Linked DNA regions of Oryzias latipes. The protein of the gene in region 1 purifies or fractionates together with the protein of each later gene. This does not show direct contact. Links are inferred from orthologs where the notes say so. Each region holds a gene or a part of one and is shown in the gene's direction. Other genes may lie near its edges.

Evidence for each region.
Region 2: the proteins of nck1 (region 1) and abl1 purify together in Homo sapiens (affinity purification with western blotting; 3 studies listed by BioGRID). This does not show direct contact. The link is inferred for Oryzias latipes from reciprocal best matches to the Homo sapiens genes NCK1 and ABL1.
Region 3: the proteins of nck1 (region 1) and git1 purify together in Homo sapiens (affinity purification with mass spectrometry; 4 studies listed by BioGRID and IntAct, with this or other methods). This does not show direct contact. The link is inferred for Oryzias latipes from reciprocal best matches to the Homo sapiens genes NCK1 and GIT1.
Region 4: the proteins of nck1 (region 1) and was purify together in Homo sapiens (affinity purification with western blotting; 4 studies listed by BioGRID and IntAct, with this or other methods). This does not show direct contact. The link is inferred for Oryzias latipes from reciprocal best matches to the Homo sapiens genes NCK1 and WAS.
Region 5: the proteins of nck1 (region 1) and wipf1 purify together in Homo sapiens (co-immunoprecipitation; 5 studies listed by BioGRID and IntAct, with this or other methods). This does not show direct contact. The link is inferred for Oryzias latipes from reciprocal best matches to the Homo sapiens genes NCK1 and WIPF1.
Region 6: the proteins of nck1 (region 1) and wipf2 purify together in Homo sapiens (co-immunoprecipitation; 3 studies listed by BioGRID and IntAct, with this or other methods). This does not show direct contact. The link is inferred for Oryzias latipes from reciprocal best matches to the Homo sapiens genes NCK1 and WIPF2.
Region 7: the proteins of nck1 (region 1) and pdgfrb purify together in Homo sapiens (affinity purification with western blotting; 3 studies listed by BioGRID and IntAct, with this or other methods). This does not show direct contact. The link is inferred for Oryzias latipes from reciprocal best matches to the Homo sapiens genes NCK1 and PDGFRB.

Annotation. Positions count from the first base shown.
Region 1 is NC_019878.2:18,420,978-18,424,477, forward strand, and holds part of nck1 (cytoplasmic protein NCK1), read left to right. Parts: intron 1-1,905; coding exon 1,906-2,669; intron 2,670-2,745; coding exon 2,746-2,946; 3' UTR 2,947-3,500. UniProt on the Homo sapiens protein: Adapter protein which associates with tyrosine-phosphorylated growth factor receptors, such as KDR and PDGFRB, or their cellular substrates. Maintains low levels of EIF2S1 phosphorylation by promoting its dephosphorylation by PP1.
Region 2 is NC_019870.2:12,824,770-12,828,903, reverse strand, and holds the start of abl1 (tyrosine-protein kinase ABL1), read left to right. Parts: upstream 1-1,334; 5' UTR 1,335-1,881; intron 1,882-2,604; 5' UTR 2,605-2,835; coding exon 2,836-2,962; intron 2,963-4,134. Other genes in the region: exosc2 (exosome complex component RRP4), read left to right, coding at 75-155. UniProt on the Homo sapiens protein: Non-receptor tyrosine-protein kinase that plays a role in many key processes linked to cell growth and survival such as cytoskeleton remodeling in response to extracellular stimuli, cell motility and adhesion, receptor endocytosis, autophagy, DNA damage response and apoptosis.
Region 3 is NC_019871.2:27,419,039-27,423,130, reverse strand, and holds the start of git1 (ARF GTPase-activating protein GIT1), read left to right. Parts: upstream 1-1,292; 5' UTR 1,293-1,677; coding exon 1,678-1,729; intron 1,730-4,092. Other genes in the region: ankrd13b (ankyrin repeat domain-containing protein 13B), read right to left, coding at 296-403. UniProt on the Homo sapiens protein: GTPase-activating protein for ADP ribosylation factor family members, including ARF1.
Region 4 is NC_019865.2:21,090,542-21,094,620, forward strand, and holds the start of was (wiskott-Aldrich syndrome protein), read left to right. Parts: upstream 1-1,279; 5' UTR 1,280-1,428; coding exon 1,429-1,530; intron 1,531-2,216; coding exon 2,217-2,357; intron 2,358-2,473; coding exon 2,474-2,560; intron 2,561-2,649; coding exon 2,650-2,746; intron 2,747-3,011; coding exon 3,012-3,041; intron 3,042-3,125; coding exon 3,126-3,161; intron 3,162-3,263; coding exon 3,264-3,462; intron 3,463-3,531; coding exon 3,532-3,710; intron 3,711-3,784; coding exon 3,785-4,079. Other genes in the region: sodium-coupled neutral amino acid transporter 3-like, read left to right, coding at 1-45. UniProt on the Homo sapiens protein: Effector protein for Rho-type GTPases that regulates actin filament reorganization via its interaction with the Arp2/3 complex. Important for efficient actin polymerization. Possible regulator of lymphocyte and platelet function.
Region 5 is NC_019873.2:4,931,173-4,934,672, forward strand, and holds part of wipf1 (WAS/WASL-interacting protein family member 1), read left to right. Parts: intron 1-156; 5' UTR 157-193; coding exon 194-253; intron 254-1,701; coding exon 1,702-1,831; intron 1,832-3,045; coding exon 3,046-3,207; intron 3,208-3,287; coding exon 3,288-3,500. UniProt on the Homo sapiens protein: Plays a role in the reorganization of the actin cytoskeleton. Contributes with NCK1 and GRB2 in the recruitment and activation of WASL.
Region 6 is NC_019859.2:1,935,332-1,938,831, forward strand, and holds part of wipf2 (WAS/WASL-interacting protein family member 2), read left to right. Parts: intron 1-138; coding exon 139-753; intron 754-2,548; coding exon 2,549-2,785; intron 2,786-3,500. UniProt on the Homo sapiens protein: Plays an active role in the formation of cell surface protrusions downstream of activated PDGFB receptors. Plays an important role in actin-microspike formation through cooperation with WASL.
Region 7 is NC_019868.2:16,271,139-16,274,638, forward strand, and holds part of pdgfrb (platelet-derived growth factor receptor beta), read left to right. Parts: intron 1-618; coding exon 619-799; intron 800-1,421; coding exon 1,422-1,537; intron 1,538-1,908; coding exon 1,909-2,032; intron 2,033-2,189; coding exon 2,190-2,401; intron 2,402-2,767; coding exon 2,768-2,862; intron 2,863-2,958; coding exon 2,959-3,091; intron 3,092-3,500. UniProt on the Homo sapiens protein: Tyrosine-protein kinase that acts as a cell-surface receptor for homodimeric PDGFB and PDGFD and for heterodimers formed by PDGFA and PDGFB, and plays an essential role in the regulation of embryonic development, cell proliferation, survival, differentiation, chemotaxis and migration.

The DNA of each region.
Region 1 (3,500 bases):
TCCATCCTCTGCGTTTGACGTGAACAGATACTATCTACCAAACTGTAAAAAGGGAGCGTCAGCCGGCAGCTCTTCCCACCAAAAAGCAAGTTCTTACAATTAACACAAGCGCAGCAGATGCATTTGCCTCCAGTGACAAGCTCTTATCATCCCATCATCGGCCTGTAGTTGGACAGGGAAATCTAACTTTCCGTTCTGGCGCTACTGCAGATTGAGAATCTAGTCAAATGCTGCGGCTTTGCTTTTTTAATGCAAAGTGTTTGGGTGACTTCAGCAGGAAGCAGCCAATCACAGACACCTGATCATAGATGGAAAAAAGTCACGTTCTTCCCACTCTGTTGGAGCTAAAACCAATTTAAAAAAATCATTTTCAACCTAATCAAATGGAAGTCATCCATTTGTTTTAATATCTTATTTTCCTTTAACGTAAAAGAAAAAAGCATCTGCTGTCTCTTTGAGTCACAGAGATGCTTAACTAGCATTTGCGCTACACATAACCCCCAGACACCAGCTCTTAACACCCAGCCTGCAGCCTGTAGTTAGGGACCGTGGTGGGACTAATGACAGGGGTCTACCTGGAAGCAATTTGACGTTGGACTCTCGGCGCTACCATGAAATTTGTCTGCTCTCCTTGAGTCAGAGGCACCTTTCAGCACCAGTCTATCTGTGGTTCCCCGCTCGCATAAGAATCACCATCCCTCCCCGCGCTGCCCTGGAGACTCCACCCTAACTCACTGTATAATTTCAACCAGCTGTCTTTTGATTATGCAAGCAATGGCCTTGCAAACGTCATCGAAAAAAAGAAAACAAAAAAAAAAGGTCTCATTTGAAATCGCTGCACCGTATCAGCGTTTGGCTCCTCGCGGCCTCAGCCTGGTTGGAAGATCATGGGCTGTAATGGCAGCAGCAGCTTAATGGGAGACGCCGCAGACTGTGATGTTACGGCTTCTATTTGGTCCCATGAGCGCCAGGCAGAGGGCATGATCTCAGCATTGCGTCTTCTGCCGGTTACACTTGTTTTGCGCAAGTCCTAACCTGCCAGGTGGAAATTTTCTCCAACACCAGCACCCGGATCTAAGGGCATTGTTGTCCTCTCGTTTTTGAAGTCACGGAGGGCTGGGTCGAGAAGTTGGCAGGACGAAAAGGTCAAACTTGACCTTTTGTCTGTGGTTATTCCTGGTGGTCGGGAATGTCGGGGAACAATCGCTGCGAGTTTTCTGATAAAACCCGTTCTCATTCCACACTGAAATCCAAACCCTTAACTGGCTGATTAGCAAAAGAGGAGTGCAGACAAGAAATCTTGTAGCAAAAAGCATAATAGAGCTTCAACAGCAAGGATGTGAGTAAGAGGCCGCAGGTGCTGGAGCAGCGCAGGCGATTATGGGATGCCAGGATGCAGGCAGGAACTATTACTAAACCTTTTTTGTACAAAGCAGTTTTCCCCTCAGAAATCCCAGAGCTTAAATATTACTATGTTCATTTTTCCACTTCCACAGGTTCAGGCCAAAACACGTCTCCATCCCACTCACTTTCTAAAAAAAAACTTTGCTTTTTAACACCAGCATAATGTTTTTTTTTGTTTCCCCAGCACCCAACCTAATCCCCAAGAATGTATTTGGATTTAGAGTGTGGGGGGGCTTTCAGGCACTGCCATGTGGAAAGGAATGATATTTAACCCTGCTTCCCCACCCTCCCTGTGTTTGAGCACAGCTCCAAATACTGATTAGCTGCTGGTATTTGTCTGGGATTTGGTTTTCCTGGTTGGGTCTGCAGTGATGTACAATAGTCGGTGTGTTTGCCGTTGAGCCTCTTCGTGCACCAATAGAAGGCTCGGGTCCTGGTTGAAGTAGTTTAGTCGATAAATCGTGTCTTCTTTTTGTGAATCTTCTTCTAATTTCCCTGCAGGCATCGGAAAGGTGAAGAGTAAAAAAGGAGGAATGAGAGACTCAGCGTCCAACGCCGAGACCGACCCCAGCATGGACAATGGCGAGCGTCTGTACGACCTCAACGTGCCCGCTCTGGTCAAGTTCAGCTACACGGCGGAGCGCGAAGACGAGCTCTCGCTGGTGAAGGGCACGCGGGTGGTGGTGATGGAGAAGTGCAGCGACGGCTGGTGGCGAGGAAGCTACAGCGGACGGTCCGGTTGGTTTCCGTCCAACTACGTGACCGAAGACGTGGACGGGACGGCGGGAGGAGGGGTCATGGGGGGATTCGGCGACCCCGCCGCATCGCTGACGGAGAAGCTTGCGGCCGTGGTGAGCAGCACGGCCAACGGGAACAGGGTGCTGCACACGGTGCAGGCGCTCTACCCTTTCAACTCTGGTAACGACGAGGAACTGAACTTTGAAAAAGGGGAGGTGATGGAGGTCGTGGAGAAACCGGAGAACGACCCGGAGTGGTGGAAGTGCCGGAAAGCAGACGGACAGCTGGGCTTGGTGCCTAAGAACTACGTCACCGTGCTGGACTCCAGCTCCCATAAATCCACGGGGCTCGCCGGGCCTCCCACACCAGACTGCGACTACATCTCTCCGTCGGTGAGCGGGCGATTCGCGGGGAAAGAGTGGTACTACGGAAAGGTGACGCGCCACCAGGCGGAGGTGGCCCTGAACCAGAGAGGCATCGAGGGAGACTTCCTCATCCGAGACAGCGAGTCGTCGGTCAGTCGCCAGGTCTTCATCCAACCTCCGTCTGGTCTGTAGCTGCTGTGAAATGCTCCTCCTAACCTCCGTCTCCTTCTCGTTTCAGCCAAACGACTTCTCCATCTCCTTGAAGGCCCAGAGCAAGAACAAGCATTTCAAAGTGCAGCTGAAGGACAACCTTTACTGCATTGGACAGCGCAAATTCAACTCTATGGAAGAGCTTGTCGAACACTACAAAAAAGCCCCCATCTTCACCAGTGAGCAGGGAGACAAACTGTACCTGATCAAGGCCATGGCTGCCTCCTGATCACGCCTCTCCCACACAAACTCACACTCCTACGTATGAATCAAAAGCGTAGATAATGCAGATACTTCCAGCAGACCGCACGCTAACATTTCAGCCCTCCCACTTCAGACTGAACACGTCAGGAGGACTCAAGCAGCCGCTTTGTGAGCATTCCAAGAGGACATGTGGGAGGAGCGCAGGAGAGACAACAAAGACTACAAATCCCTGAGAAAGGGTCGCCTATTTTAAATTATCCAGATGTTTCATTCTCAAACTTCGTTTCATTTAGGTTTTCTTTTTTTATTATTATTTTTTATTTGTTGATACCATATTATCTTTTAACAGTGTCTTTTAAAAAGGTGATTTTTATTTCATTTCTTAGATTTCAGCACCTCAGAGCCACGCCCACAGCTCTTGTTTCGTCTGTTTTAATGCTTATTTTTTTGTGTGCACACTAAAAAATCCACACCTTCTCGCCAACAAGTGACCAAACTATATTTATTGACATGTTAGGATCCATGTTTTTATTTTTTTTCATTTCTGATGGGCACAGGTTTTCAGCGGGCGCTGTGAAC
Region 2 (4,134 bases), on another chromosome or scaffold:
AACTATAAATGTTTCTGGACTTTTACAAAACGATAACAACCTGTTTTAAAGATTTCCCTTTTCCCTGCCTGTAGGTCAAGGACATCTTAAAACCCGAGGTGATGGAAGAGATTGTCATGTTGACCCAACAGAAGCTGCTGGAACAGGAAGGATAAAAGGCTAATGCTAAAACCACATCCAACAACGGGGCCACCATCCACTTATCCAAAAATTAAGTTTAGTTGTCTTCTATGAATCAAAGTGAGGTGCTCAGAGATCACATTCTTTATTTGATATCAAACATTAATAATGCATATAACCTGAATGAAAATTAAAATGTTGTCCACATTTGTAAATGCTCGGTGTGACATTACATTGTGATGGTTTTGTATAAAATAAAATTTCAGTCATTTCTGTATAGTTCTCATCGTGGTCTGTATTGATAAAAAACAATGAGTACATTGAATCAATTAACCTATAAGAACCCATGGTGGACATAATTGTAACAAAATCATCAAAAGTGTGTTCTTTGGTCCACTTGGATTTTTGTATATTCAAAATAATTTTCGTTTGAAGGAAAATGGGTCTTCAGGGTTAATGTTAGATCTTAAAATAAATCTGATTATTTCACTCTTCATTAAATGTTAAATTAAATATTGTTAAATGTTTAGCAGCATTTTGGTGCTTCATGCTTCTACTAACTTAAATACTTTTTTTTCATAACAGTCTGAATCATTAGCTCTCAAGAAATGTTTTTTATTTTAAACAATAAAAAAATGAAATTCAATTTGCTACATAAAATATTTATTAGTTGGAACATGGCCTACATTTCCCTTTTTATGTACTAATTTTTGAAAATTCATTAATTGTTAGTTTTATATGCAGGATTTAATTTTTTTTCTCATAGTTGTTTGATAACTAAAAAAAATGTTCTACTCTAAGACAGGTTAATAAAAAGTGACTTTATTTATATAAAAGTGTGCAATCACCTTTGTTATTCCTGAATGTTTTTTCTAACCAACCTTGTATTCTTTTAAATGAAGAAAGCTAAAAAAAGAATTCGATTTATCCCTGCTGGGATGGCTTTTCCCCTTCTGTTTCCCTTCCTGCTCCTCCAGCAGAATCCAAACTCGTGCGCTTCCCTCATTTTTTTTCCAAACTTTATTGATCATAACATTAAATTTACAAAACATAACATCAAGGAATAAAATAGATCAGCATCAACAACTATTGTCATCATTCCAAACTTATTCAACCACAGCAAGTAACAAACGTAGCAGAAACATATCAAAAACGTGCGCTTCCCTCATGGTTTTTTTTTTTTTTTTTTGCGCTTCCCTCATGGTGCTAGCCCACGCTGAGCTCGTGACGTCACACGTAGCCCCACCCACATATTTCTGTAAACCACCTTACGTATGGAAGTATGGCGGTTCCAGCGACAGAACTGGAACTCGGCCAAAGTTTACTGCTCAGGTTTTCACGTGAAAGTGATGAATAAGCACGCAAGCATAGAGCTCGCTAGTAAAGGGCACGGCGGCTGGGAATTCGGGAGAAAATCTAGGAGACAGAGTCGTCTGGCCCTCAGAGTTCCCTCAACTTCGCCTACAAGTGGCTTTAGAGACGCGGGGGGAGACGCTCCACAAAACGGGAAGAGTGGACGCGGAAGTTTGAAACACACCAACAAGTGCTTTGATTTTTGGTTACAGAGTGTGAAACTGCGGTCACGGGACATGTTTTGGTGAGATAATGAAGTGGACTTGACTGCGGTTACCAGCAGAAACCAACCGTTGACTGTCCGGCGTGCATAGGGGTCTGGCGCTGCTTACCACCAGCAGAAGTTTGGTTAGCTTATGGCTATCGTCAACATTAGCTGGAGCTAACCAACAGTGTCAATGTTTTCATGTAAGTTTACCTCACATTTAAACACTTATCAACGTTTTATTTTTTAACTGTACAGTTTTATTAGAGTCAAAAACAAAGATGTCGTTGTCACAAAGTTGTTTATAGTTAATTAAACCACGTATGACACTAGTTTACATTATTGTGCTCGAAAGATTAAGACTAAGATAGTCGAGATAAACAACATAAGGTGTCGCTTTTCTTTAGTACTGATAAGCAAATGTATTTTCAGTATTTGTAGTTAGTTATGTGAAGCTGTAACTAAACCGAGACTAACCCAACACTATTATTTTGAGGCTGTGATTGACGTTAAACAATTTAGAAAAGTAGTTGTTCGAACCCTAAACCTAACAAACTTGAGGAAATACTTTCAATTTAACTCTCAACTTCTACAGAACAAGACATTTTTGAGCAGTTTTAACATTAAAAAGACACTTATTCTAAATTATAATTAATTTAATCTTTTGATCTGATTGGTCAGGCTCTAAAATTATTTTTTTAATCTAGATTATTATAAAATGCATTTCATGTTATTATTTAACATGTGGTCAGGTCTAATACTTTTTACAGAACAGAAATAGTCTTAAAACAACTCCCAAAATTGAAAGTTTGTTGGCGTATTGCTTAAAAGACATTTTTTTACAAGCTTATTTGTCATTTCTTTATTTAAAAAAAGTTTGATCAGATAACTTTGAATGCTGATTACTGTTGTTTACGTTTCTGCAGATTCCTGTTAGGTCCCTCATATGTCGTCTGAATGCATAAAAAAACTGAACCCTACTGGAGTAACACAGACTTGTGCAGGAGGCCTGCATCACCAATACTCCAGGAGAAGACAGTGTGAGCCCGGAAAGAGGCTCCTGTCTTCTCCAGATCCCGCCATTGCCGCTCAGCAAGCTTTCTAACCGACTCCGTCCGACTTGGATAGTCCCGGCTGCAGCCTGGCACCCTGCCCTTATGGGGCAGCAGCCGGGAAAGTTTGTCGGGGACCAAAGGAGACCCAGTCTTCCAGCCTTTATTAAGGGGGGAAAGAAGGACTTACCGCGCCATGTGAATCAGCCGATGAATGTTTTTGATTGGCACGGTAAGATCACAACCCCACTCATTTTTAAGGTAAAAATTCAGAGACAAAAAATACTGAAGGACAATCATTTGCTTTTTTCCACTTCCTATTGGCAATCACAAATTCTAGATATTAATGTCTGCATTCAATAGGCTCATGTTTTTTAATCAGTTTATATTTTAGAAGACTTTGTCTTGCGTGCACTAGCTTCAGCAAAATCTTTGGCAGAAAATTTAGGGGATTTGACATCTTTGTCATTGATTAAAAAGCTGGCAAAACAATCCATGCAACCTGAGCAGAAAATCAAATCTATGCAGCTTCAAAATCTGATCCAAAGGTATTTTACCAAACTTTTTAACCTTAAATTTACCTTTTTAAATGCAAATTCAATTGCAAATGCATTTTCCTGCAGATAAATTAACCTGGATGACAAGTTTGTGCTTAGTTTGGCCTTATATGATATAATTATTATTGGATTAATATTTCACAGATGTTTCAAAGTTCCCTGAGAAAATAAAAGCGTTTTCTCTCACATCAACTTCCATTACGGTGTGATCAATGATATGCCACTTTGAAAATGTTGTGCCTAAATCAAAAGTGTATAGGGATGTTTAAAACTCAGTCATAGATATGTAATTAAATATGAAGCTTACTTCAAAGCATTTTACAACATTATCCAATACAACCTATTGCTGAATATAACATAAAAACCTTTGTTCTTAAGCTAAAAGCTTGCTTGTCAGTAAAATGTTGACTTAAAACCTTATTTAAACACTTTTTCTTGTGATTTTTAAAATGAAAACATTTGTGCTTGTGATTAGGATTTACAATCATCATTTTTTTATGATCTGAAAAAGAGTTTACAACTGTGCTCCAAATGTACCGGATGCAATCTGATTAAAAATTGCAAATTATTCATTAATGTGGAGGACTAAAGCCCCTTTGGATTGATTTTGAAATTAAAAAAAAAAGCTTGATAGTTAGAGTGGGAAGGGAAAGAGGAAGAAGATGGAATGAACAAATTCCATTAGGAAAAAAAAACAGGGATTTTGTGGGCTTTTGGCCACAAAAGCAGAGCAAAATTAAATGCAATTTAAACCATTTCTGTCATTAGTATTTTGAAGGAGTATGAAAGCTATTTTAGCGTGCGATCATGCTCAATGATACCATCTCTGTTTTCTTATGTTATGTCC
Region 3 (4,092 bases), on another chromosome or scaffold:
AAACTCCCCATGCAGCATGAAACTGCTAGCAGGATAGCAGCTTCAAACAGCTTCACAATGTATATTAGCTGGGCATGTCATTTATTTTTGGAATACTTCAATGAATGAATAAATGAGTCCAGTCCGATTGAACTGCGGTATCATTGTCCAGGTTGTTGATGGAGGGGAATCTCCATGCGTCTGGCACCATGATCCACATCATTTGGAGACTCACACACCCATGACAGCCACCAGGAATAAAAAATATAAAAAACAGAACAGATTCCCCCCCCATAGGTGCACGTCTTTGCCTCACCTGCTTGCTCGTTTCCAGCTCCTTCTCCAGCTGACGGTGCTTATTGTGCCACACCAGATAGTGGATAGGATACCGACTCTCCTCCGGAGTTTTCTTTGCAGAAATCATCCTCGTATCATAGTTTGCCACGTCCCCGCTCTTCACTTTGGGCTTTGGACGAATACTTTGGTCGTCAATTTGCTCTATTTGATCGATCCTCGCATCCTTCACCCGGCGGTGATGCCCAAAGGCGTGTGTTAGGCTGCCGCGTAAATGAGCCACTCTGCCCCTCCGTTCAGGATAAAGTGCATCCAAACACCCCCCCCCCCCCTCCTCCTCCCCCCTTTGATTGTTTCGGAGAATGAAGCTACACCTTTCTGTCTGTCTGTCTTTCTTCCTCCACCATCCCTTCCTCCACCCAAAAGCTTTTCTGTCTTTCTCCTCTTCCTACTCCAACACATCCACCCTCCTCCTCTTCCTCCTCCCATCGGGTGGTGACTGAGAAAGATGCGCTGACAAGATGCAATGAAATGTGCGCGCAATCAGCCAATCCGCAGTCAGGGATGGGGAGATTAAACCTGAGATTAAACATGTCCCATGAAATAAATAAATAATAATAATATTTGTAATTATTACAACAAATCACGTGATCCCAAACAGCAGCAACAATGCTGGAAAAAAAACAACTACTGGACTTTAACGAATTAGTAGCTGTGACCAAACACATTTTTTAATTGATGTAAAGAAGACATCAAGTAGATATACGAGCAGGAACACATTCAGACTGGAAATACAGAAAAACACAACAGTTAAAAATAAAATTAAAAAAGGTAGAAAATAACATCCGTATTTTTTGTTTGATATTTATTTAGCCTCATATCTAAAAAATTAGCCTTCTCTCGTGAAATTATTGTTTTTTTTTATTTAAATCAAACATAACACACTCTTCCGGTCAACTTTTTGTTGTTTTCTTCCTACTGAATTGTCGTTCGACCCGCCCCGGTTCTCGGTAGGTGGGCTGCGGGGCTGAAGGGTGTGTGCGCGCGCGCAGACTGGCAGGTAGAGAGCCGCCGTCTCTCGGCGACTTGATGGCAACGCAGGGACCGGATTTTAATGAAGCGGTCCCGTGGCACGCGCTGCGTGTGTGCAGATTCATGCACAACTTTAATCTAGATCTGCTCCTCCGGAGGGAACGTGGCCGAGGAGACTATTGAGCGGAGAGACAAAAAAAAAAGAAAAATCAGTCCTCAGCTGGCCGGGAAAGCCGAACACACCACCCGGCTTCCGGGGATTCCGGGGCCGCTGCGGTTGACGGCAGACGTCGGTCGCTCGCTCGCTCAGGGGGGAGAATACCCAACATCGGCGGAGGCATCCACCTCTCGATCTCCGCAGCCTCTTTCGAGATGTCAAGAAAGCTACAAAGGACAGAAGTCTGCGCTGACTGCAGTGCGCCAGGTAGGGAGGAGGGGGGTAAATACGTAGAAATAGACCACTGTGGCGAAACAATACATGGGAACGGCTGTACGGTGGGCTAACGGAGCCGAAGATGCTGTCACTGTCCGCGGGTCTCCAGAGCAGGAAAGCGGCCAGGGCTCCTGAGCCTGGGTTAGGCCCAAAATAAACAGCGAAAAATAGGCGTGTTAAACCACGGAGAGTGCCTTTAGCCACCAGCTGATAAAGTTGATTTCATAGAAGGAACAGCGGTGATTTAGACTTTATGTGCCCCTCCTCTGCGTGCTGAAGTTACCGATGCTCCAAAGCAGGAGCCAGTCTAAGGAAAAAAGCGTTTGTTTTGATTTTCGTGACTGGGACAGACTTCTTAGCGTAGCATGGAGGTTAGCAAGGTACCAAATTATTTGACTTTCGTTCTAGCATTCTGTTTTAACACGATCTAGATGGAGTAAGTTTTAATATGTTGCCTTTGCACAGCTATCACCGTGTTAATATTCCTTTTTTAAAATCTTCTATAAGGTTGAAGTTTTCGTGACCAGGCTAGCTAGGCTAGCGCCGGACGCTAGCTACTCCAGCTAACTTTTGCTACGACAAGTTCCCACCAAGCTAGCTCCGCGCGAGGATTTTTGATGGCTAACGGTCATCTATTATTACACCAAACTCTTTTAAAAAATGTTCTTTTAGTTGATATTTATCTTATCGGCCATTTTAAACTAGACTTATGGACTTGACACTAGTTAAGTAACTCAAAAGTAAGACTAAATTCATCAAACTTAAACTGAATTCATGAAAATAAGTTCATGCTTTAACTTAAGTGTCGTATCTTTCTTTTCAAATTTTTGTTACTCAGAAAGCTGTCATGTTATAAGTTTATTTAGGAAAAAGCAGGATCTTTATTCACGGTATTGGTCAGTGTATAACATGGTTTGACCTTATATTAGCCATGACGTATTGATGTTTTTTTGTATGACACCTTGAAGTTTCAGAATTCAAAGTTATGCTCCCTTTTTTCACAACTCTTATCTCATATTTGTGGGTTTACTGCTTTGAAGATGTTGATATAATGTGACAGATTTGGAATTTTAATGTAACATTTTTTTGCAAAGCTTGCATTCAAATTTGGAATTTTTATTTAGAATGATGTTTTTCAACCATTTCTTTTTTAGCCAAGCTCCAGATTTTCCTTGTCAAAAACCACAAGGAAAACCAGCGCCCAAAAATGTAAAAAAGAGAAACTCTGTAGTCTGTATTGATGTACAGTCCCTCCACGATCTCACATGCGTTTTTTGTAACAATTGAAGCACAAAAAGCTGGAAGTTGCAGCTGTTTTTCCTAAAAGTCGCAATAGGTTTAAATAATTTTCAACGTAACTAGTTATAACTTTACCCAGGTATTTGTTTTTCCCTCCAGTTTAAATTATATGTAACCCAAAAATAAAAAACAAAAGTATAATCTTTTAGAACAGTGATTTAAAAAAATGTCTTTGTTGTCATGAGTGCAACTGTAGTTTTTGAACAAATATAATAATCACAACACGAGTGACACATTTTACACAAAAGAGATCAACATTATATTCATGAACATGCTGAAGGTTTATTTGTTTTGCTTTTGTCTAAATCAAAAATGTAACTTTAACAAAAAAAATTGAATCAATTTTGGGTGAATAAGTTTCTTTTTAGATTAAATTGGTCTGTTGGTCACTTCACCTTAAATCGGTTTCTTTATGTTGTTATTAGTTTTATTTAAACTCAACTTTCAATTTTTCAGAAGTGACTGAAGTCTGAAACAGAATTTGTCCTTCAAAGACATTAGAAAGCAGCTGTTTCCTTTAGAAAGAAGACTTTGACCAAACACTGGAATCTTTGACTCTTAATGATTTTTTTCTTCAGCACAAACCTTGAAGGAGAAATAAACAGTTTTTGTCTGATTTCATCAGGAAGATTTACAAGCTTTTAAAAACAGATGTTTGCATTAGTTGCGCTTCATGGCAGTTAACAGCAGCACAGAAAGAGACGGCGTCTCAATTATCCAATGCATCATGGGAGATGTAGTGAAAAGCGGTGGTGTTGGGTAGATTCAAATCTCCTAGCTTCATTATTTTTTTCACTTTTTACAAGGTCTAACACCGGATCCCACAGGAAGCTACTGTCCAATACGGATCACTAGCCACAGTTCATTTCAATCAATTGTCCGTTCACACCAAACGCGATTCATGCATCAAATTTGCTTCCTCTGCTTCTGTTTTAACTCGCGTCAAAGTCACTGTTGGACGTTTGCCTGAAAGTGTTTTATAAATCTGACGCTCCCACCATGTGTGGGCGGAGCTACTTTCAAAAGTTTTTCTTGCATTCTTTATGAAAAACACT
Region 4 (4,079 bases), on another chromosome or scaffold:
ATCTTTGACTGGGTGACGGGACAGCCGATAAAAGGTGGACACTAGCTGTACACTGGTCATGACAGAGCGGAGGTACTACAGTCAGAATGCCAACCAAAGCTCGTCCTGTGTACCTGAAACACTTCTGTTGAGTTTCCGTCCAAACTCAAACTAAAAGGTTTTGAAAAAATAAAAAAAGTGAAAACCTCCACCAACATCAAGTTATGTAGTGGAGGCCGAAAGGCAGCGTTCAAAATAACGTGTGCTGCACAACCTGCCACAACTCAGAACCGCCGTGCTGTTGAAGTCACTAGTAAAATGGCAGCAAAAGGATGAATGGGAACAACATGACAGCAATGGAAATGCCATTTATAGAATGCTGATGTGTTCTGTTTCTTGGAATAGTTCAGTCACAGTAATCCCTATATTGCACTTCCCTGCTATTCCAGTTTTTACAGGACACCCATCTGAATACAGTCAGTATATGCAACTGCTTTTGCTTCTTGTTAAACAACACAAAACCTGATCCTTTTCCATTTTCCTTTGGTTTGAGAGCTTTATCGGACCTTACTTGATCAGCTTAAAAGCACTTGGGAACAAAATTGATTTTAATCAATCAAAAGAGAAAATATTTATTTAGTATTTTTAATGGGTACTTTATCCGACTGACGTAAAAACCATAATTATCATCGAACTTAAAGTCCCACAGTTGTTGGGGCTTTACTGCCATTTCTTCAAAGTCAACAGTTACTGACCATCATAAACACACATACAGTGAGTTTAAACAGGGATTCTTTTTGTTACTTACAAGCGTCAAGCCAAAAAAAAGGAATTTTGTCACTTTACAAAAATAAAATGTATTTTTTATTAAAATGCTTGACAAAGCCAGTTAAACTCAAGATTGACATAAATCCAGTATTAGACAGATTTTGCAGTCCTGGAAAATGTTGAGGAACTGCCCTTTTTCAATTTTATGTACAATAAAGGAAGTTTTGTTTTGTCCGTCAAATGGTATCTTTTAACTGTTTTATGCAGGATGTGCATTTTTAAATTAATGTGAATGTTGTTATCTGTCAATAAAATAAGTGTCATTTGTACATCTGTGTTTTGTCGCTGGTGTTTTCTCCTTCTGATATTAAATGCACCCAGAATGTGTGTTTGCTTTATTAAATTTGAATATGCACATCAGTGGAAGAGCAACATTTCGCCGCCTCTATGAAAATGGAAGTATAGCACGTTCATTTATGCCCAAGCGAAGAAGAAAAGTGGGGGTTAGAGAAGTGCGGTTGTTCATTTCCTGCTTTGAGCTGCGTTCAAAACAGAGAAGAGAAACTTCCTTGATTGCAAAGTTAACCGAAGAGGCCATTCTCTTAGCGACTGCAGGGCTGCTTTTTTTTAAACAAGATACATGCAGATTTCAGATAAAGTGGATCTTTTTTAAGAGGCATCATGAGCCGTGGATCTAAAAGTAAGACTGAGAGCAACCGAAGCTCTCTGTTGAGCCAACAAGAGAATGAGAAGCTGGAGGAGCTGCTGGGAAGAAGATGTTCAGTAAGTTCTGAAATGACCTAATACACTCTGTCTCATCTGTGAAAATGAGGGGTTAAGGCCTAAGACCTTTTATAGCTGACACTCAAAAAATGTCCATATCACTTCTATCTGCTATTTCAAGGATGATTAAACATCACATCCTAAATTTAAGAGCATAGTTGCAGCTCAGCACTGAGGCTTTTGAGAATACTTTTTTTAATTTTACCTCCACTGATCTTTTCTTTTATTTTAGATAATTCCTCGGAAAAAAAAGTAAACACTAGCAAGAGTACATGTATATTTCTCTAAAATAAAATTCCTTTTTTTGTTTGAATTATATTCTAGCATTGAGTTGTGAAAAAGAGGGTGGCCCTTACAGGAAATGGTAGCTAAAACGATTCTTCCCCTGCCGTCAGAATTAGAAACCATGTTGGGTTGAGTCTCACAGTGTGGAAGATGTTGCTTTGTGTTTGTTAGCTGCAAAAGTAAATATTCTCAATGAAAGCTTAACATTTGAACATGCTCTCAATGTAAAGTGTTTCATCGTTTGCAGTGGAAAATAAAGAATGCCATTGAACCTAACTAACGATGAGGAGGAAGATAATCGTCACGCAACTGGAAATTTACATGAGGACTGCAATGAAATGCTCTTGGGAGTCTTATCGGCTGTGAACAGTTTTTAATCGGTCCCTTATTTGTGTGTTTAGTCCATGGCCACTGCAGTGGCTCAGCTGTTCATGGCTCTCCCTCACAGTCCAACCATGTGGAGTATGCAGCACACCGGGGTGGTTTGCTTTGTCAAAGACAACCCTCAGCGCTCCTACTTCATCCGAATGTTTGACATGAAGGTCAGTCAGAGGCTCACTGTGCTCTGAAGATCCAGTCGTGATAACCAGGTTCCCCTTTTCAAGGCCTGCTGAGCACTAGGGTCACTAACTGACACATCCATCATTTGCTCCCTCAGACAGAGAAAATGGTTTGGGAGCAGGAGCTGTACAACCAAATCATTTACTCCACTCCACGGACGTTTTTTCACACCTTCACTGCAGATGTAAGTGCTCGTTGATCTGCCCTTCTTAAATCATAATCTTCTACCTTGTGGGGTGGTTTAATGCATCGGCTTGTGTAAACTCATTGAAGGATTGTCAAGTGGGGCTGAACTTCTCAGATGAAGGCGAAGCAGAAATTTTCCAAAATGCCGTTGTGGAGAAAATCAGTCAAAGAAACAACCGTCAAGGTCAGCATCTCTTCTGTGGGGATTATCAGATAGAATCATGAACGCGACAAGTTTGTGCCTGATTTGCATTTCCGATGAACTGAACTTCTGTTTTTATCCGGGGCTCAGAGGAAAGTGGCAAATAAAGTAAATGCATGTTTGAATATTTACAAATTCTGTGTTTTTAAGTTATATGGTAAGATTTTTTGTTGTTAAAATACTGAAAGAAACAGTTTGCACTCATTCAAGTGTTTTTGGTGGCCTGAATTTTTTTTCCTGTTGACAGATAAGAAACAGCGCCCCCTACCGACGCCTGGTAAATACACATTTTTTACACTATTTTTGGATAAATTCCTCCTGCATTTCAGAATATCATTTTTTCTCCTCTGTTTTGTTGTAGATCGAGGTTCCTTGCCTCCAGTTCCTCCTGACAAAGGTGTCTTTTTTCAAATTCAATTTCAAATTGTGGTTTCAATATTTTTTTTTCAAATTAAATAAATATATGATAGTGTCTTAATTGGAATTTCTTTCTAAAAAGCAGCAGCTGGTAACCACGGTTCCTTTCACATGGCAACAGTGGACATCCAAAACCCAGACATCCAGTCTTCACGTTATCGCACCATGCCTCCACCCCCTGCTGCTACAGCTGTAGTTATTAATAATAAGAAAAGCAAGAAAAGCAAGAAAAAAGGTCCTAAACTGTCCAAGGCAGACATAGGAGCTCCCAGCGGGTTTACGTAAGAAATGGAGTCTTTAGAGGTACTCATGTGTTGCTGTCTGTTTATTCCTGCTCTCCTCTCTGCCAGGCATGTGTCGCATGTTGGATGGGACCCCAATAACATTGACCCTAATCTGCTGAAGCTGTTCTCCCAGGCGGGCATTAGTGAAGCTGACCTCAAGGACGAGAAGACCTCCCAGCTCATCTATAATGTCATTGAGCAGTCCGGGGGAATTGAAGCTGTCCAACAGGAGGCAAACAGAGCAGGTTGGATGCATATGTTTGATCGTTTGATCATTTTCAGAGCCTCTGCTAAATGCATAACTCACATGTTCTACCAGCTGCTGCACCTCCACCACCTCCACATGGCAGACAGGGAGCCCTGCCTCCTCTGCCCGGCTCTGGGTCTTCCGCTCCAGCCCCTCCGCCCCCTCGAGGTCGCTCCGGCCCTCTACCACCGCTCCCAGGTCAATCCCAGCGGGGGAGCCCGACTCCAAATCCACCTCCACCACGTGGGGGCCTGCCACCTCCGCCTCCATCAAGCCGAGGGGGCCTACCCCCACCCCCTCCGCAGGCTCCACCCTCCTCAAAACAGGGTGCCTCATTCCAAGTGTCCTCCCACATCATGCCACCACC
Region 5 (3,500 bases), on another chromosome or scaffold:
AGAATTTCTGCTATTCTGAGCGTAAATCACTGGAGACAAACTGGTAGATTTCTGTTTTTTAGTTGATCTTTCGTGTTATTTAGAACTTCTCAGTCAGTGAGAACCATAAATACCGATAACCACGCTTTGTTTTAACCACTGTTGTGTTTCCTCCAGGGTGCGGCAGCCAGTGGTGATAGAGTAAAGCGAAGCCATGCCAGCCCCCCCGCCCCCACCGCCCCCGGGGCCTCCCCCTCCTCCGACCTTCAATCTTGTAAGTCTGTTTGACCCCTGTCCGCCTACCAGAGACATCTAGCGGATCAATCATGTCAATGAACCTGATCTCCTGTCGAAATAAAGGAACATGTGATAATATTTGAACATCGTAAAGTCAAAGTCGTCAGTCAAGCTTTTGGATGATTGTGGCTGACAGGTAATGAAAACCCAAACTGTCGTTATTTTTGAAAAAATTAAAAGTGTTTTAAAACAATTCATTGATGGAAACTCCCACATTCAGCTAATATACTCCAAACATCTGCAAAGGTTTCTTGAGCCTTTGATGGTCTCAGTGTGGGCAATCACAAGAAAGACTGTTGACCTGACAGACGTCCAGAAGACGTTTGTTCTCATGGAGGACAAACCACAAAAGCCGGTTGTTCACAGAGTGCTGTATTCAAGCGTATCAACAAAAAACTTGTGTGGAAGGAAAAACTGCCATGCAACAGAGAGTACTGCAGCTTTGGGAGGACTGCTGACCAAAATCTAGTCAAGAATTTAGCGGGGCATCTCAAGGATGGACTGAGGACGAAGTTGGTGTGTCAAAGAATGGGTTACAGATGTTGGATTCCTCACGTCAAACACCTCCTGAACCAGAAACATAACAAGCGTCTTACCTGGGCTAAAGAAGGAAAAGAAAACAAGTTTTTGATTTCATTCGGAAAATAAAGTCTCAGTGGAGGAGTGGAGAGAGGAGTGGAGAGACACAGATTTCATGTGGCTTGAAGTTTAGTGAAAAGTTTCCATCAGTCATGGTTGGTCATCTGCTAGTGTTGGTTCACTGTGTTATCTTGAAGTTCACAGTCATAGCAAACATCCAACAGGAAACTGGACGAGTTCATGCTGCCCTCCGCTGGCAAACTAAGGAGATGCTGATTTTTATTTTCCAGCAGGACTTGTACCCTGCCCACTCTGCCAAAGGAACCAAAAGATGGTACCATAATCACAATGTTACTGTGCTAGTGCCGGAAAACTCACCTGACCTGAACCTGACAGAAAATCTGTTATGAAAATAAAAGGCAACCTAAAGCTCCATTAGACCTACACAGCTCCACTGGCTTGTGGCCTCCATGCTGCAGAGTATCCATGAATGAAGAGTTCCACTCAAGTCCAGAGTGCAAAAACATCAACATAGTTATCAGAAGCCCTTTACTGAAAACATATGTTTTCATTAAAAGACACAAAATTGTATAACTTATGTGTACGGTATTAACAGAAAGGTTACAAGATACAGACTTGAAATATTTTAATCTGTTTGCAATTATTCCACTTTTTGAATTTCCTTTTAAAATGATTGAACTTTCTCAAAGAATGCACCCATACTTTTAGAGTAGGTATCTCTTATATCATTTCTGGGTGAAATAATTAAAGGAATAAGATAAAATCATCTTTATTCAAATTGATCATTCATTTTTTCTTTCTTGACGTGTTTGGATCTCATTTCAGGCGAACACAGAGAAGCCAGCGCTGAACCGCTCAGAGCAGCAGGGAAGGGGCGCTCTTCTGTCTGACATATGCAAAGGCGCCCGGTTAAAGAAAGCTGTAACAAATGACCGCAGCGGGCCCGTATTTGAGAGTAAGTTATTTGCTCCTGGGTAGAACCAGAAAATCCCACAATACATGGAGAAGAAGGCTTTATTTCAAACAAATAAAATTAAATATGCTACACTTAAAACCACAGTATGATCTATCACAACAGCAAAAGTAAATTATACCTCACCAGCATTCATGTGCTTGTAAGTAAAAGTACGATGACAAAACAAAGAATCCTGTTAGAGGAGCTGGTTTTGTTCAGGTAACAGGAGACTAAGTTCAGAAACAAGCCTGGCTAGTTAATGAATCTTTGTACTTGAATGAATTTTTATCTTTGCACGAATGCAAAGATAAAAATGAAAAATTGTTTTTAGTATCTCTATGTCATTTTATGGTTAGCTTGTTAGGATAGTTAGCTTATTATCTTCAGCTATTTTACACATGATCCACAATGTGCTCACCCTAATCACTGAATACAAACACATATTAAACCTTTTAACCCTTGTGCTATTTTAGATGACCCCCCCCCTTACATTGAGGTGTTCTCCCTACCATGACAAAGGTGGATAAAGGTGGAAAGATTTCATGTAATCCATGGACACCAGTGAAGATCACAAATCATTGAAGAAAAAAGGTTCTGAGCACTGTCTAGTGGGTCTAGATCAGTGGTCCCCAACCTTTTGTTCACCGCGGACTGCTGCCTGTTAAAGGCAGATTTCCCTTTTTTAGCGGGTGCAGGTTCCTCTTCTGTCCCTTCATTGGACCGTTTCCCCTTGTCAAAGCAACTTTCTAAAGAAGTTTGTTTTTTGCTCATTTTGGTTGTTTGGGTTTAACTTTAGCGGGGTGTATCACGTGATGTTTTGTGTCGCGACTTAGACGTGCGTTAAGGGTGACGGATGTAACAGAGAGAATCTGGTCACTTTTCAAAATAAAACGTTTTTTTCGAAAAAAAACAATAAAATGGAAATTATTTTTTATTTCTGTGCGTCCCGGTGCCAAAATTTCCCGCGGCCCGGCCCGGTGGTTGGGGACCACTGGTCTACAGTAGATGACCCAACTCCCAATGTTAAAGTGCCTAGGATAGCACAAGGAATAAACCTTCCTTCAGTTTCACTAAACAAACACATGTTCTAAAACGTAAAGGTGTAACTTGAACGTACTGTGAGGATCTTTCTCATCAATTAAGAAAATCTGATTATCCTAAAGTAAAAAGAAAAAACTAAACGGACTGTTTCTGTATCTTTTCTTCTTTGGTAGAACCCAAAGGAGGAGGTGGTGGTGGAGGCGGAGGAGGAGGAGGAGGAGGAGGCGGAGGCTGTGGAGGAGGAGGTTTTGGTGGGGGGTCACCTGGGGGTTTAGGGGGCCTTTTTGCAGGGGGGATGCCAAAACTGAGGTCTGCAGCAAACAGAGAGTCTAATGGTAAAAGTGACTCAAATCCTGGATGTTGATCGTCTCTCAGGATGCATCTTCATTTCTTCCTGTTTTCATGTTTTTCTCAGATTCAGGACCCAGTCGTGGACCTATTCTCCCCCCAGGGGCTCGCCCTGGCGGCCCCAGTTCCTATGGTGGAGGCGGTAGCCCCTCTGGCCCTCCTAAACTCCCAGGTGCTCCTTCTGTTCCCCGTAGCAGTCCTCCTGATCTTCCGAGGGGCCGCCCAGGTCAGCCATCAAGGCAGGACTCTCCAGGAGGGGGCCCCCCTCCCTTACCAAACA
Region 6 (3,500 bases), on another chromosome or scaffold:
ACTGTAGGTCCATGCTCTACCAACGAGTAGTCCCGTACGAACACTACATGTGTTCAAAAACCCACGTTCAGCCCACTGGAAGCTCCGCCTCTCTGTGTTTGATGTCTGCATGATTCTCCGCCTCTCTCCTCCTCCCAGACGGTCCGGTTGTTGGTTCCCTCGGCAGATCCGCCCTCAAGCCGCCGGGATCCCGGCCTGCTGCTCCTCGCCCCCCCACGGGTCGCTCCAGCTCCCCCACCCCGCCCAACAGGCCCTCTTCGTCGGAGCCCCAGCGGTCGCACCGCCCCTCCCTGCCAGACATCTCCCACTCCCACAACAGCAGCTCCTCCGGCGGGATGAAGCACAGCACATCTGCCCCGCCGCCCCCTCCCCCCTTCAACAGAGGAAACCGCGGCAACGCTCCGCAAGCGCCTGCTTCAAGAGAGAAACCCCTCCCACCAACGCCGCAAAGAGCTCCCGCGCCGTCAAGTACGGCGAGGCCCCCGTCGTCCTCGAGCAGACCGCAGCCCAGCGGCTCTCACGCTCCTCCCCCTCCTCCCCCTTACAGACCTCACCTGTCAGGTGGGGTCTCCAACGGGCCCTCCGACGTGGATGGAGGGGGGGCCCCTGAGCTCCCGCGGAGACACAACTCGCTGCGTAAGAAGCACTCATCAGGGGGGCGGAGTCAAGCCCCACCGCCCCCTCCTTCTCCATCCTCCCAGCAGGGCAGCCGGCCACCGCCGCCCGCCAGAGAACCACCTGGACGCAGAGCAGGTATGAACGTGGTCTCACACACGCACACACACACACACACACACACACACGCACACAGATGCTACAGCTGGCAGTCGAGCGGTTTCTGACGTCTGGATTTTTGAAGAGATCAACAGTTTTCTTACATTTAGCTGCATATATAGCATCTTCATCACATGACCCCCCCCCCACACACACACACACACATCCAGACAACAACCATCTGATTTCCTCTGTTATTCACATTTGTCGAGGGACTCTTTGCCTCCAGGTTGTCGTAGAAACGCGGCCTCAGTTCCATCCGGCGTGGAAACGTTTGTAACTCCAAACTCGCCAAACTGGAACTGACGTGTTGCCTGCGTGTAATGGGCCAACAAACGATTCTCCAGGTTCCTCTGCATTCCTGAAGTTTTCTGGAATATTCCAGCTTTCCTCTTCTCTCATTCTGCCTCCAGCTGACATCAAACTGCAGCTGCTGATCAGCTGGTTTTGTAAAATCAAAGTTTGAACCCTGGAAACGGTTCAGTTTAGTGGATTTATTTGTTTGTTTTTCCTGATCTCTGGAAACAGGATTAGGTTATGAGTCACAACCATTGACTGTATCAGAGAGCTGGACTGAGTGTGACGTCATCCATAGAAAATTGTTTACTTTCTCCTCAAACCAAATTAAGTCAATTCAGTCACCATGTTTGAGTCTGATGACATCAGTAAGCAGTGATTGGTCCGAGCCGGTCTGAGTTTCTATGGTGACCACTGTTACCAGCTTGCTGGAAGGCCACGCCCCTTCTACTTGATGGCAGACTACAGAAAATCTGTCAGTCGCTTTGAAAGTTCCGCCTACGTTTACTGGAGCATCTGATTGGCCAGTTTATGATTTAAATAACTTGAACTACAGAAAAGAATCACGAAAAAGGGGAATAATAGAGATGATTTTAAAGGGGTCAGACCCTGAATGGTTCTTCTGACCAACAAAACCGAGTAACAGCTGTTTGGTTCTCAATAGACGTCTACGAGATTTTAGCGGCTACTTCCTGTTTGGAACGCCAGGGGGGCGGGGCCACCCAGTCCAGTTCTCACACACAGTCAGACTGACTTGATCTGTATTGACATCACTTTTATGTCTAACAGACCCCCTAAGATTGAATAAATCCCAAAAGACGTTTTCTAATTCAGATTAAAGTATTTTTCTTCTGTTGACAGACGTCGTGTCATCTGCCACTTCTCAGTGTTAAATTGGGACGTTGCTTTTTATTACCAGAACATTAATTATCCGTTTCTAGAATGATCCCTTTTTTATTTTTATTAAGAATTTACAGCAGAAAAATTCTGAATTACAATTATTATTTCCTTTTGATAAATAAAATACTTTTTAAGTCAAAGAAACAAAATCTGCCAGCAGCACCAATTTATACACGAATACAACAGTAAATATGTGACAACAATTATTAAAATATAAACCCCCCAAGGATTAAACTGACTCTACCAAACTGTCAGTATCCTTCCAAACCCAGATACTTAAGCTCCTCCCCCTTGGCGTTTTCAAAGAAAGTAAAATACAATGACATAAATTCGTCCAGAATGAATCAGCTATGAATAAGTGATTGATGTGTCTTTAGTTTCATCAGGTCTCTGGTCCTGATGGAGGCTGTTCCACTGGGGAGGAGCTTACACCTCCTTTTTAAAAAAGCATTGGTCGCAGCTCCTGTCCCAGAAAACCAAAGCGAGCCTTTCAGCGGTCCGGTTCCCCTCTCAGAGAAAGTGTTCTTCCACTCTTCAGATTCTAATCCTGAACTTTTTTCTTTTTTCCTGGTCACAGTCCCCCCGGCCCCCCCTCCCAGCTCTCGGAACGGCGGTCGTGATGCCCCTCCTCCCCCGCCTCCGTATCGTGGCCACAGCTCTGGAGGCTCAGAGCCCCAGATCCGGGTGGGGAAGCCTCCTCCCCCCGTCTCCTCCTCAGCTCCACCATCTACCAGAACGCCAGCGGGGCCGCCCCCTCCTCCTCCACCCATCCGCAACGGTCACTCCAGCTCCTCCTCTTCTAGACCAAACACAGGTGAGTCCCGCCTCCATCCCTCCGTCCACGTGGCGTTGGGGACACGGAAAGCAGGAATGGATTCTTCCGTTTTTCCCACGACTTCATCAAAGGCGAATCTGTGTGAAAATGGCTGCTGCTGTTCTTCAGTGGAACTAGTTTGTTTAGGATTTTTCTGTGATGCAGGCGGCTGTTCAAAGATAAGCAAACCACCTCCTGCTCGTATGCAAAACGGCGCTTTGTTTCCTGATTACCAGGAACGCTCTTCCACGAGTCTCCAGGCCGACACGCCATGAAGCTCAGGAGATGAACCGCCACCGAGTCGTTTTGACCCTGAGACTGAAATGTCAACAAATTCCCCCTAAACGAACAAACAAAATCTGAATTTTTTATCTCAGTAGACAAAAATATTGATTTGTTCACTCATTAACATTATTGCATCTCTTGAAGACTATTTACAGTAAAAAAAACAGAAACAAATAGTTTCTGAAATGAGGACAAAGTTAAACCAAAGAAAATTGATTTGAAACCAAAGACTCAGTGTTGGATTTTAGCCGTAAGCTGAGCTGCTGCGTTTCTGAAACTGGACTTTTGCGTAGAAACCTTCATTTCTTTGCATGTCTCTGCTTCAACTGGCTGAACGTTTCAGTTTTCAGGCAGACGAATCTCTGCTTAGCATCGGCAGAAGCCGGTCTCATTTCCACGTTACCCCGGCGTTTGTTTCCGTCTTGTGTTG
Region 7 (3,500 bases), on another chromosome or scaffold:
AATCGTTTTTAGTGGGGAAGCTGTCTGGACAAAAAGTGCCACAAAAATACTTTTCAAACAATAAAAATTGTCCAGGATGAAAACTTTTTGTTTGACTTGCAAGTTTTGGTTTGACAAATGAAAGCAAATAGAAATGTATGGCAAATTGATGTGTGAAGGTCCCCTAAATTTGCCAAGCTGTTGAATTATTTCCAAATATGACATCTTAGAGGTTTGTGAAAAAAACACAACCGTGTCTGATAAAAGAAGAACCTAAGATGTTAGTTATCGATACAGACGTTATGAACTTTATTGAACTATTTCAAAACATGTTGTAGTTTCTCTGTCTGTTTATGAAGTTTCAAAAATATACGCCTTCAGAAACATTAGACCAAACTCAAATATTTGTCTGGTTAAAACAACTGGGCCTAAATGTTTTGCTAGTTCCTTTAATATGCATAATTCGGTCAGACAAAAGAATTTAAATGAATATATTTTTGTTACTTCAGGTCGAGTAGAGTGGATTCATTGTCTCCTAAGAAGCCAAAGAAAGTCTCATGCATACTCTTATTGTGAGTTTTAACGTGTGATTGCACTAAATATGCTGTGTTGCTGATGAGATTTTTTTTCTCTTACCAGAAAAAGGTTTTGTGGATGTGAAGCCAGCTCAGTCAAAAAACATTTCCACCAAAGTACAGGAGAATGTCGAACTGCGAGTGGAAATCACTGCCTACCCGCCTCCTCAGATTCTGTGGGCCAAAGATGGCGCCACCATCAAAGGAGACAAAAGCATCACCATTAGACAAGTGAATGAGATCAGGTAGATCGTCCAGCTTGAATGATCAGCTGTTTCAAAAATTCACCACAAATCCACAGACCAACACTTTGAGTTGTTTCTGTTTAAGCAATTAGCACAGGACCTGTGAGTCTTTCAGTCAGTAGATGCGTGCAGCTTATGTCAGTCAGCACCATGCAAAGCCTCCACAGAGAGAAACACAATTCCCTCCATAGGGCCGGACTCCATCTTTCAACGCACATGAACCATAAACACAAAACGCCTGTCACAACTCTCAAAGGACTTCTAGACAAATGCCAAACAAGAAAAGACTTTTAAAATAAAGGTTAAAAAACTAATGATCTAACTGAAACATCAAACACAGGCCTCAGTAGACAGATTCAAAACAGCAAGTAAATGGCCCAACATCATAGTGAACCTTATTGGATTTTGTCAGAGTAACAGATCTGGCATTCTTTTCAATTATTAACCACATATTTACACCATCAGAACTTCATTTGACTTTTTTAAAGTTAAAAAGACAAGATTTTCAACACAAGATTAAGAAAAAGAGAATTCATGTTATTAAGATGTTTGTTGCTCAATTACATGTAATCAGAAGGAGGTAAAAATAATTAAGATTCTGTTTCATTCTCTTGTGCATCAGGTACGTCACCATTCTCACGTTGGTGAGGGTGAGGATGGAGCAGAAAGGACTCTACACTGTCCTCATTAGAAATGGGGATGACTCAAAGGAAGTGGCCTTTGACCTGGAAGTACATGGTAGGTAGACTTGTCCAAAAACCATCTGTCTTGTTTTTTTTTTTTTTAGTAATTTTTTCAGTTGTGAAATATTAGATTAAAACATAAAAACTAAAGTCCAGTTGTAACAATTTTGTCTGATTTGGGCTGATTCAAACATGTTAGGACTATAACAAGCAAAGATAACTCAAGATATTTTCTTTTCCCTTTTTTTATATATTGTAATTTGGCCCCTTTAGGCCGCCATTGATAATTGTCACTTTACAAATGAACTGATTTAAAGTTGGCAAAAACAATTTGTATAAATGTATTTCCTGGGTCTAGTCTACTTCACTATCCTTTATTGACTACTGCAATGCTTATCTAATTCTACTTTTCTTGGTGTGTCTTAGTTCCCTCTCAGATTAAAGATCTGTCTGATCACCACCTGCCAGCGAACAGACACTTGGTGACCTGCACCGCAGAGGGGGTCCCAACTCCGACCATACAGTGGTACAGCTGTGACAGCATGCTGAAGTGAGTGCCACCCCTCCTTCCTGAGATGCTGCAGTGTCAACACTAGAGGGCTGACTAAACACACACATTTATTCAACATTCAGAGCATCAGCTTTAGCTTTGCTCTCCTCTGCTGCAGATGTTGTGATTTGAGTGCTGATCCAGTGTTCTGCTGCAGGTGTAGTAACCAAACATCAGCATGGCAGCCGCTGGTCCCACATTCAGAGGAGCTGAGCATCCAGACCAATGTGAGCTACAGCCAGGCACGAAAACTGAGTCGAGTGCGCAGCCAAGTGACCTTCCTCAAGCCCCAGCAGGTCACAGTTCGCTGTGAGACCACCAACCAAGCCGGACTCACCGACCGGAGAGACATCAAACTGGTGTCTAGCAGTAGGTGTTCTGACAACCACTCAGAATGGTGTATTTTTCATTACAGTGAGACCTCAACGCAATTTTGATAGTCTGTTATTGTTAAAATGTTGTCCATAAAATGTTATTCTGTAGTTGTCTTTACAAAAAAAAAGCTAAATAATTTATTGCGTCATTTGATGTTAAATAGAAGACATGCTAATATTAAGTTATTGTTTGTAGAATTTGGTACAAACTACCGTGTACTATCACAAACATTTATTTACTACTATTTTCTTTAACTCAGTAAAGTAGTATTAAAACAAATGTTTAGCCTCATGTCTGCAGAGTTTGAATCATATTGGTTTATTGTTTTCTCCTAAAATGCCATGTCCATGTCCTTTGCAGCACTCTTCTCCCAGGTGACTGTATTAGCTGCTGTTTTGGCATTAGTGGTCATCATTATTATGTCCATCATCATCCTCATTGCTGTATGGAGGAAGGTAAGAAAACACCTTTGTGGAAATAAAAGTGAATTTAAAGACAATACTAGAAAAAACATTGAACTTGATGATATTCTTTTCCTTGATGTTCCTCAGAAACCTCGCTATGAAATCAGATGGAAAGTCATTGAATCTGTGAGTCAGGATGGCCACGAGTACATCTATGTGGATCCCATCCACCTGCCCTATGACCTGGCCTGGGAAATGCGCAGAGACAACCTGGTTCTGGGTAAGTCAGAATAAGACAGGTGTGGATATTGGGAGGAAGTTGGATTTATGACAAAATGTAGGTTTCTTTAGTCTTTGTCAAAACCTTTTATCTACTAGTTAAATTATTTTTTTATCCAGCCTGAGTGCAGTTATTCAGTATAAACAATGAAAGAGTCCATTTAAGAGGTCTTCTACATCAGAAACAGCTCCACTCTTGTTGTTGTACAAAATACAGGTTCAGGTCAACCTGAATGTACATGAAAAAAAATGAACAGACAGGAAGTCTTTAAAGTCCCACTCTGTTTAAAATCTGTTTTTGATGTTTTAACACGTTCTTGTGGCTTTTTTTCTCATGATGGCGGTCACAAATAAAGAAAATTAAGCTTAAAATTACATTTCTGAGGTATTTCTGTAGTTAAATCATGAAG